3 linked regions of the Astyanax mexicanus genome follow. The protein of the gene in region 2 purifies or fractionates together with the protein of the main gene of each other region. This does not show direct contact. Links are inferred from orthologs where the notes say so. Each region holds a gene or a part of one and is shown on either strand. Other genes may lie near its edges.

What was found.
Region 1: the proteins of sf3b6 (region 2) and phf5a purify together in Homo sapiens (affinity purification with mass spectrometry; 4 studies listed by BioGRID and IntAct, with this or other methods). This does not show direct contact. The link is inferred for Astyanax mexicanus from reciprocal best matches to the Homo sapiens genes SF3B6 and PHF5A.
Region 3: the proteins of sf3b6 (region 2) and ccdc97 purify together in Homo sapiens (affinity purification with mass spectrometry; 3 studies listed by BioGRID and IntAct, counting the BioPlex papers as one, with this or other methods). This does not show direct contact. The link is inferred for Astyanax mexicanus from reciprocal best matches to the Homo sapiens genes SF3B6 and CCDC97.

Annotation. Positions count from the first base shown.
Region 1 is NC_064422.1:23,507,444-23,511,202, reverse strand, and holds the start of phf5a (PHD finger-like domain-containing protein 5A), read right to left. Parts: upstream 2,343-3,759; 5' UTR 2,245-2,342; coding exon 2,193-2,244; intron 1,623-2,192; coding exon 1,599-1,622; intron 887-1,598; coding exon 720-886; intron 1-719.
Region 2 is NC_064408.1:59,525,190-59,528,948, forward strand, and holds the start of sf3b6 (splicing factor 3B subunit 6), read right to left. Parts: upstream 2,433-3,759; 5' UTR 2,272-2,432; coding exon 2,242-2,271; intron 1,403-2,241; coding exon 1,284-1,402; intron 1-1,283.
Region 3 is NC_064410.1:53,972,403-53,976,161, reverse strand, and holds the start of ccdc97 (coiled-coil domain-containing protein 97), read right to left. Parts: upstream 2,561-3,759; 5' UTR 2,377-2,560; intron 2,254-2,376; 5' UTR 2,213-2,253; intron 1,993-2,212; 5' UTR 1,932-1,992; intron 636-1,931; 5' UTR 570-635; coding exon 396-569; intron 1-395. UniProt on the Homo sapiens protein: May play a role pre-mRNA splicing through the association with the splicing factor SF3B complex which is involved in branch-site recognition.

The sequences.
Region 1 (3,759 bases), on a different chromosome or scaffold from region 2:
GTGTTCAACGAGCTTTACCATATATTGCAAATTATCTTTTCAAATGTAAAATCTAAATTAACATTATCTACATTTCCTCTCCGATCTTATTTATCTCCCCAATCAAACTTCTTGCGTGCCTTGTTTCAAATTAAAAGCCCTTTGCCAAGTTTTGCTATTGCAATGGCATTCATTTTTTACAAAATATAGCAGCTGTAATAATTTACATAAAAATAAATATATTGCAAAAACAGAAACACAGTAAAACTCAAATAAATGTCTCTTTATCACATTTTCTTCAGGAAAGAGCCATGGGCTTTTCATAAACACACTTAGAATTCATTATATACTTTGCTATGCCTTCTGTAACGTTTTAGTCTTCACTGTTTATCCTCCAACAAGTAACATGCTGGGTGAGTGTGCCAGGAAGAGGGGTGTTTTGAACATGCCAATCAGTTAACAGTATGATCTGTTCAAACTATATCAGATAGACCAAATATACCCAAACTAAGGAAAAAAAAATAATATATATATATATATATATATATATATATATATATATATATATATATATATATATATATATATATATATAATTATTTTTTTTTCCTTAGTTTGGGTATATTTGGTCTATCTGATATAGTTTGAACAGATCATACTGTTAACTGATTGGCATGTTCAAAACACCCCTCTTCCTGGCACACTCACCCAGTATATATATATATATAATAATCACTCACGTCTTTCTCCTGAATGGTGCATTCTTTGCAATAGTACGCGTCTGACACCCCTGGGCCTCCGCAAATCACACAGCGCCCTTGGTAGGACCCGTAATTACACTCATCACAAATGCGCACAAGTGTGCAAGGTCTGACATAGGAATCACAGATAACACATTTCCCATCACCTGAAGAGGAAAAGAAAGAACATAGTCATGGTTGTTAAATATAACTTTGACATAAGCATGATATGAAAGAATACACAGTTTCTCAGTACTTTTGTTAAAGCTTCATTGCCGAAGGTCAAACGTAAATCTTATGCACAAACTTGACCAACACAAGCTACACCTTGTGAAACAAAAACTAATAACCATGATAGTTCCCCTACACTACTAATCCTCTACTGTCTAGACATGCTTATTACTAAAAACAATTCAATGTCAGTGGTTGGTGTAGGATAGTGGGCAATACTTCTACCCTTCAGAGGGCAAACATTTGCTTCCCTGCTCAAATAAGACCACCACAGTACACAAAGTTTACATTTCCTTTTCTCAGTAATATTATTAAACTTTAAGTGGTCATGGAAAATACTAGCATCTCCCAACAACTGTTAATGTAAACATCAGTATAACTGATATTGGTGGACACTTCGTGGCATTATGAGAAATCAAAACGGAACACACGTTTCAAGTAAGACCTTTACTATCAGTGTGAAACCTTAAATGCTCACAAAGAGTGAAGTATTATCTGCACTGGTGTACTGGCTACACAGACACAGAAGATGAAATACAAAATATAACGATCTCCACAAACTGACTGCATGAAGCTACATGATTCTCTTTTGCCAAAATATATAATACACATAAAATGTTCAAAGTAATAGATACTCCAAAAACTTACATTTTTCACACAGCCTCCCGATAGCTATAAAGATAAAAACACAAATAAGGAGTTAGTAATTTACAAGACAATAGTACACACGAACTGATAAATGTAAAATAAACAAAGACTACTTAAATAGACAACTACCTGATTTTGTAAAATAGGTTACCAGCCGAAATAAATTAACCAGCTAGCAAATATTCACACGATAGTAGAGGGGAGATTTAATTTAGTTTAGAGACCATCACAGACAATCACAATTATTGTTGTAAGCTCAGAGTTAAAGTTTTTTGTTTTCAAAAAATGCCATAGAAAGGCGTCAACAGCTTATCCGCAGTGCTGTTCTGTAAAAGTAGGTCAATATTTATAATAAACAAAAGTATAAAATGTACTTTATTACGTGAAATAAACTATATTTCCCTCTTTAAACACAGTGGAGCTCGTTCGCCTGTTCTGGATCTACAGCAGCGAGCCTGGCTACGCTAGCGTAACGTTGGCAGATGGCAGCTAGTTAATACATCTATTCGCCTGTTAGGACTAAAATAATGATTACGGAATTCCAAAACTCGTTAAAACAAAATCAGTACTTTCTAATTTTTTTGTCTTTCTTACCGACACCGGCCTGTTTCCTACAGAAGATTAGATCTGGATGATGTTTAGCCATCGCGGGTTAGCACACAGTGTGGACTACAGCGGCGGAACCCATTCACTTTTACCATCGCGGCTCTGCTCACAGCGCCACCCGCAGGCCCGGCGGGTCCACTGACGCGTTATAAAACCAGTTGAATACCGAATTTAGAGGTTAGTTAATCCTTGTATTGCCGTATTGTAGATATAAACCATTCTTCAAATGTGTGTAAATATCGAGGTGTTTAAAAACAGTCGCCATTTTTTGTATAGTTAATAAATAACATTAGCGCCAGTCTAGGACTAACCTTGTTTAGTGGTCAGTTTGGGGTAACTTATACCTCTGCATTCGTGTGGAGCCAGTTTTATCGGAAAAACGAATTTCCCTTCGAAGCGGGATCCTCCTCATTCACACTGACATTTTTGATGCAGGACAAAATGAACGAGTTGTGGCATAAACGCTTTTCAGCGTCATTAAGCATGTTAACAATGGCGGTGAGTAACCCAGGTCCAGAATGTAAAAATCCAGCCCAGGAGTTTGTACCAACTACCTGAGTGGCTCTGCTGCAGCGGAGTTAGTACAAAAACCTGGGCTGGAGTTTTACTTACTCGACCCGGAATGCCCACCTCAAGTAAACAAAATATCAAACATTTTTTTTTTTTTTTGTCCGATATTCTAATAGCAACACACTTTTTAAACATCTACAATCACTATATATATTTGATTAAGCTTAAAAAATATATAAAAAAATCTATTTTTGTTTCATACACAAACCATATGAAACGCGGCCAAGTCGTGGAACGACTTCTATTTCTGAGAAGCGCACGTGACTGCAGCACAATTCACAAACACCGATGAGGAGGACAGCAAGACACCGGAGCAGGTGTGCGGAGTATAGGTATAAAACTGAGATTTCATAAAAAAATACATGTCACTTCAATAAATTATTAAATTATTTTAATAGGTTGTTACGTATAAACGAAGGAAAGTCCTTTAAAATGCACTTCTCTGGCTTTATTGGGGGTATATAGTTTATAGGGTAAAAACTTGTTTCTTCTATTGTTGTGGTACATTTTCTTTAGTGAAATACATTTCGTATTTATCCATTGCTATAATCTAGATAAAAAAAAAATATTAGCCACTAAAACTGTTGTCCATCCCCAAAATGTTCATAAATTATGTGACTTCGTAATTAAAAGAATAAAAGATAAAAGAATCCCATTTGGAATTTCTGTTGTAACTTAATTCTAAAACATGTGTGTATTTTTCATGAAGCTTTTTATTTATGCCCATAATGGGTTAACGTCCAAGTACCTCCCTATTCTGAACTCCACCAGGGAAACCTGTAGTGTAATTACAAGTAACACTTTTAAGTTTATTTCCCTGGTAATGGCTTTCTTTTATGTGGCTGCAAAATGTTTGAGTGAACATGAACTTCAACTTTTTATAAACAAATGTCTAATGTTTTATTAAAATGTGTAAAGTTGATTCTCGTATTAATGTCTGTGATATTATTATCAGTTTTATGAATGATTTATAATAGTATGGGTT
Region 2 (3,759 bases):
TCTCGGTCACATGACATCGCGTTCAGTAGCTCCTCCATTCCCACTCATTGTTGTGTTTACATGGATCTCCAAGGAAACGCGCACCCAAATTGTAATTACAGTGCGTGGCAGTGAACAAATAGCCATTTTATTAAATGTGAGGTGACAAAACTCAAGAGATGTCCATCCGGATGGGACTAAAATTACCGGACGACCACAGAGTTCAGTGACAAACAGTAGGTAGTTCAGCCTGTAATTTTCTCAGAAGACGTCTGAGGAAAACACAAACATGGTCTTTCCGGACGGGTATAAAATATCACAGAGGACCCCCTGAGAAACAAATCCTGTCTAGATGGGGCTTTTAACAATTCAGATCGATTCAGATTTAGTTTGTTGCAATCTGACATTTCTTCAGCAGGGGGCACTGTTAGAACACAAGTAAACATAAAAATATATATCTGACAAAGTACCATGTTGGCACATCATTTCCTGGGCAGAAAATATGTGTAAAACACAAAGATTCTTCATTATTATCCACTGGAGTCGGAGCAAAGCACCAGTCTCATACTTATCCAATACTTCTACTACCTTGTAACTTTATCACATTGTGCCCCCCTAAGCAGGTTTTATATTTGCAGAAATAGCGATTTCCCCTCACTCAGTTTTTGCAATTGTTTGTCAAAAAATTCTAAATCTAAACAGAGAATTATACATTCGTAACAGAATCTGAAATCTAGTTCTGTGTGTAGTCATTGTAGTTTTATGACTGTATTTGTGTAGCAGAGTCACTCATGATCTTTAAACGCCAACTAAAGACTCATCTTTTCAAAGACTTCTTAAACTAATCTTTAAAATAATCATCTAGGGTTAATGTTTAATGTTCTTTAAACATCATCAAGCTTTAAGTATTTCTTGATCCTAGTCTCTACAAACTAGCTATGGATATTTTGAACTAAACAACGAAGCATTGATGTAAGAAGCAGCAAAACAGGCAAACGGCATGTAATGTCATGAGAGTGAAGTAGAAAAAAGGTGCTGCAAAGTATAGATAATTTATTGTAACAATTATGTTAACTACTCACATTAGTCTTCTCATATAAGATCATTTAAATCTGGGGTGCACAACTGGTCCTGAACAGCCAGAATCCTACTCAGTTTAGTGCTTAGTCTGCTCAAACACGTGATTCAACATCTCTGATTCAACACATCAGTTAATCATCAACCCTTTAGTCCAAATGGCTCCGTATACCAAATAAACAATTGGCCTGCTAACTAAAAAAAATAGGACATTGATCAGTACTTACACTCTGATTTGCCGGATGGGGCCGTATTTTCCAAATATGTCATACATTTCTTCTGCTGTGATTTTATAAGGAAGGTTACGTATGTACAATATCCTATTCACCTCCGGAGGCAAGCGAATCTGGGAGAAAAAAACAAAACAAAGATGTTCTGCTTAATGCTCAGTTTCAATAACAACATTAAAAGTCTTGATTTTCACACGTTACAATAAAACATGGGATTTGTCACACTGTTGAAAGATTTGGGACTTTAGACCAGACATTGAGAAATTTCACTCTCCTATATTAATAACAGCTTTAAAAGAGAACGCTCACATTAACACTTCATCAGAACCGACTGAGGTTTCTTATTTAAACTTGGTTTTGTAAAGTACACGAGTGTTTAGTGGTGCTATTTGGGTTTTCTATTAACGAGAAAGAAGCTCCGCAGTTGTGGATAAAAAGCCAGCTAGATACTGTAGGAAATGTCCAGCATGATTAGAAGACAAAACACACTAGCTAGTTAGCTTAGCCAGCCTGTAAGTTGGTCGTGTTTTTATCTACGTTCAGCTAACTAACGCTACAAAGTTTTACTAGTTTAAACCGCGTGAATGAAAACTCCCCAAACAAGAGCGAGTGTTTATCTAGCCAGCTAGCTTGGTTAGCTTAGATACCGTGTTAGCTAACTGTCTCGGTCAGGGCGAGCGGCTAAGCTAAGCTAGGTTGGTTAGTGTTTCTTACCCCATAGTCTTTAATACAGTTCTAGCCCGTTTGAGCTGAATGAGGACCTGATCATTCACTAGTGTTGTACAGTAAGACGGAGTCTATACAGTGTGTTTTAGTGTGTGTGATGAGTGTGAAACTCTGCTGTGGCTTTAGCTCCAACAGGCTAACGGCTTCCTCGATACAAAGAGGCCTGCTCACACCGGGCCTCGGTTTAAAGAGTAAATACAGGGAAACGAAATAAATAAACAAGACTTACGTTCGCGCGTTTCGCTGCTTGCATCGCCATGATCGAAAATCCTGATTAATGTTCCGCTTTTACACTGAACTAAACAGATACTCTGAACTCTCAGCGAGCTCCTCACCAACTCCCACACTACGCACTGACTTCAGGCGCACGATGACGCACTTCCGTGTAGCCGACACATACACGAATGCAGCTGCGTTAAGTGAGCAACAATAAGCAACGAATAAAGGAAAAAAAAACAACACAAAAAAAAACAAATAAGCAACGAATTATACCCGGAAGTGTTTCGTTTTTCGTGCTCCTCCTGAGTTTCCATTTCAAAATAAAAGCAATGAAGCTTTTGAATATATTACACAATTAAATATAGTTTTACCGATCTGGAGGGTTATCCATTGCTTTAGTGACGTCTCTGGTTTATATGTAACCATTTCTGTTACAAATTTGAGTGATTTAAAACTATTATTTAAACACTAGCCTTAACTTTAAACAGTAATATTAGTGTGAAATGAATCAGGGAGAGAATTTGGCAAAACAGTATAAAACATTTTTTATACCTCAACCATATATTCCATATTTACACATGCTGGGTCAGAAGAGACATTTACCCCTAGATGGCAGTAAGAGGTATGGTTGTTATCTTTTTTACAACTGTGAAAGCACTGACATGGTTCTTACAAACCGATCTATAATAATAATAATAATAATAATAATAATAATAATAATAATAATGATAATAATAATAATAATAATCAATATCAGTCTGCAGCCTAAACTATACATTGCGTCAACATAAACCCATAGTGAAATTAATTCAGCAGACCCTCCTCTGTCAGAAAACATGGAGTTTACTATCAAAAAAGCGTAATTGTAGATGTAGGAGTCATCACACTATAGGCGATACATGGTTATATCCCATTAAATGATATGAATACAGGGTGGGCATAGTTGTATCAGTCTGCAGCCTAAACTATACATTGTGTCAGCATAAACCCATAGTGAAATTAATTCATCAAACCCTCCTCTGTCAGAAAACATGGAGTTATCTATGAAAAAAGCGTAATTGTAGACGTAGGTGTCACTTATACTATAGGCGATACATGCCATTAAATTATCTTAATACAGAAAGGGCATAGTTGTATCAGTCTGCAGCCTAAACTATACATTGTGTCAACATAAACCCATAGTGAAATTAATTCATCAGACCCTCCTCTGTCAGAAAACATGGAGTTATCTATGAAAAAAGCGTAATTGTAGATGAAGGAGTCATCACACTATAGGCGATACATGGTTATATCCCATTAAATGATATGAATACAGGGTGGGCATAGTTGTATCAGTCTGCTGCCTAAACTATACATTGTGTCAGCATAAACCCATAGTGAAATTAATTCATCAGACCCTCCTCTGTCAGAAAACATGGAGTTATCTATGAAAAAAGCGTAATTGTAGACGTAGGAGTCACTTATACTATAGGCGATACATGCCATTAAATTATCTTAATACAGAAAGGGCATAGTTGTATCAGTCTGC
Region 3 (3,759 bases), on a different chromosome or scaffold from region 2:
CCTCATAACTTTTTGCTGACCTGGAACAGGGTTAAGGACCACTGCTGTTGTAGAATGTGGTTTGACTCCCCACCCAAGCAAGCACACTATACTACACCAATCCACTATACTCCAACCAACAGTCACTGAGCAACTCTAACTCTATATTCTCCACCCAGTGTAACATGAATTACATGCAAGTGACTCTGGATAAGCGTGTCAAGCGTGACAACTGCCTAAAAACAAATGTAAAGAAAGCAATTTACATTCTACTCATTACCTATTCATGTCAAGATAGACATTTTATTTAATTTTACATAAAATATTCAACAAAACTTTGTTGTTACTTAAATCTACTAACCTACAAATAATACTTCCTTAAAAAAAATATCAGAATATACTTATAGTTCACTTACCGGTCCCTTGGGTGCTGTAGACTGAGCACAAACCACAGCAGCACTCTGCATCATGTCGTCACCCTCATCTTCATCCTCCTCCTCCTCTTCCTCCTGGTCATCCCTCAGCGGCTGATCGTTTTCAAAAGTCTCTGGACTCTGTGGTCTGAAGCTTGGCTCTATCTCACCCCACATTTCTGCTCACTGAAGTGTTTAATATCGCTGTATGTTTAGGCTGGGATTATCAGAGAGTCAGGAACACTGTAAATAACCAAACACAAACAAAGCCAAAACTTTTAAAAGGGCATGATTGCTTTATGCTATTGTATTGTTATTCTGTCAGTTTTTTGTCCAGCATTTAATGCTCTATTAATGCTCTAATTATATCATTTATATATACTCTTTAAAATGGTTCTGAACTATTTTTCATTAAAATAATTACGTAAAGTATAGATAACCGAAATTTCTACTTAGTTAAGGTAACAAAGTATTTTTACTTCATTAATTGACACCTCTGATTATAAAATTACTGCAAAACCTTTTAACCATATTTCCTCATATTTATTATTCAACATGCATTTTTCTTCTTAGATGAATAACTGAAATTTGTTATATTAATTGGGCAGGCACAGTAATAATATTTTTATTTACAATGTTGATTTTTTTAATGAATAAAACAAATGAAAATTACTCCATTACCTTACTTAAGCACACATTTTACTCCAGCAAAGGTTTTACTTTACTGGAGTACATTTTTTACTTCTACGTCTAACATTTTTACACAATTATCTGAACTTTCTACTCCTTACATTTTAAAAATAGCCTCCTTACTCCTATTGCATTTCAGCACGTTTTCATTCCGGCTTCTCATCGTTCAATAAAACCCCTATCCAAATAAACCTCTCCATCCAGATAGAGCGAATCTGATTGTGGTTGGATGAGAAGTATAAACATTTACCATTCTGACACCCTATTGGTTTATACTGTGATCCATCACACCTGCACACATCACACCCCCAACACACACTCCAGCAAGAACATAGCAGAGAACTCTAGACAAACGTCCAACCAAGCCTTTTTGATATATTTATATTCTACTAAAATACATTTATTTACATTAAGCATATATGCAGGTGAAACAGGGTGCATCCCAAATGTATCAATATTAACATTTTAATAAAACATTATAGCCACTATTGCTTTTAGAAAAAATGTTTTTTGGGGAGTATATATAGTAGTGCACTATAGGACTCTGTGGTGTTGCCTTGTCCTTAATTGCTTTAGTTTTTTCCCCTTACATTACTTTTACTTTTATAATCTTATTGAAACTTCTTTTAAAACTACTTAGAAAGTTATTTTACACTTTTATTTATAGAGTAAAAATCTTAAGTTCATACTTTAACCACTACAGAAATATTTTAAACTCAGCAGCTATACTTCTAATTACTTAGTAATGAATAGGAAATATGTTTTACATCTTTATTTATAATTGTATCTGTGGTAATGAAACAGCGTTGTCAACTGGCAGAGGGATATAAAACATAAGCTATAACTTACCTTAGACTTAGACTTTAACTTCCTCGTAAATGTGTTTAAATTATTTTCAGATATGACGTCCCTAAATAAAGAAATTACATTAGACTGACTCTTATTAGTGTTTTCTTGTAGTTATCAATCCTTAATTAGTTCAATTATGTGTACTCTTTCAGCCATGCAAGTGAACTAGACATAATAAAAGAATACCAGCATACATACTAATAAAATGTACATATTTCAGCTGTCTTGAAGGTTTCAAACATTAAAATAATATTTTACAAGAAAATAATTGTATAACAGACCCACAGTGGACGGTTTACTGAACGTTTCCCAACCTAGGCACCTGAAGACAACATGCACAGTTAGTTAGCTTAGCGTTTTCACAGCGTTTGCTATCTTAACGTTTTCCAGGCGTTTTCAGAAAGACCCGTCCTATAAATGTACACAGAAAATGTGTATAAAATACCTGTATTATATCAGCGCTGGTAAAACCATCTCCTCTGTTTCAGCTACATTAATAAAGCTGATATTATACAGTAAACGCTCTTACTGTTTAGATACGTTCTGACACAGCTGTCTGCCTGTGCGCCCTGATTAATCTTCCCCCTCACCAGCCTCACTGCACTCAGCGGTTCCGCTTCAACTGTACCGCATTCAGCTTCCACTAGATGGAGATAAAACCACGAGAAAAAAACACTGATAATGAGTAGCTGCTATGAACCTACCTCATATTACATAGATACATATAATACATATATATATATATATATATTTAAACCAATTTTAGGAAACACATACAAAACATATGGCAGTTGTTTTGGGATCAGTGTAACCCAGGGGTCACCAACATGGTGCCCGCGGGCACCAGGTAGCCCGCAAGGACCTTATGAGTAGCCCGCAGACCTGGTCTAAAAATAGCATTTTTGTTGCTATTCTTTTTTTTTTTAAATCAGTTGCATTGGTGTAATTTTAGATTATATTAGATTAATATTAGCTTAGAGATAGCCTATAGTTTATATATTATACAATATAATGTAATATATGTAATATTATATTAAAATATAATATAATATAAAATGTAAACAATTGCAGAGATTTATAAAAATAGTGTTGCATATTGATATGTGTCTTCACATAGATGAATGTCATTAATTATTAATAATAACATATAATTAAAGGTAAATTGAGAAAAGTTGTAATTTCATGAGTGTGTATCAAACTGGTAGCCCTTCGCATTAATTGGTACCCAAGAAGTAGCTCTCAGGTTCAAAAAGGTTGGTGACCCCTGGTGTAACCTTTATCATTAAATAAAATATATATTATTTTTCATTTAATAAAGCAGAAGAAATGCATTTTCAATTATATTTTTATTGTTAAGTTTTTCATGTTTGGAAATCTTAAATTCAGGAAACATGAAAATAAATGATGAAAAGTTTTCTGATTCTTATTTTTATTTAGCATTTTCTTGCATTTAATATCGGATGGTGTAATACAACCAACTTATTTACCAGAATAAAAAATAGAAATGTATTTATTCTGATTTTGAGGGGCAGAAATAAACCTGTTTCAATGCCTAACAGACAAAGTTATATAATGTAAAATAAAGTTTTACACCCAATTTCCTATGTTCTTATTTAGCCATAGAATGTTACACTGTCCTTATTGATATTTAAAAATGAACAATCCTTTGAGAGGGCATCTTATTATACAGTCGAGCAAGAGAACCAACCAGAAATCTTACTTCTAATTTAACATTTTGAAAATACTGATTGTAAAAAAAAACTAATAATAACATATTAATATCAGCCACAAATTGTATAGCATTGCTAGTTAGTTCTATGAACGATTA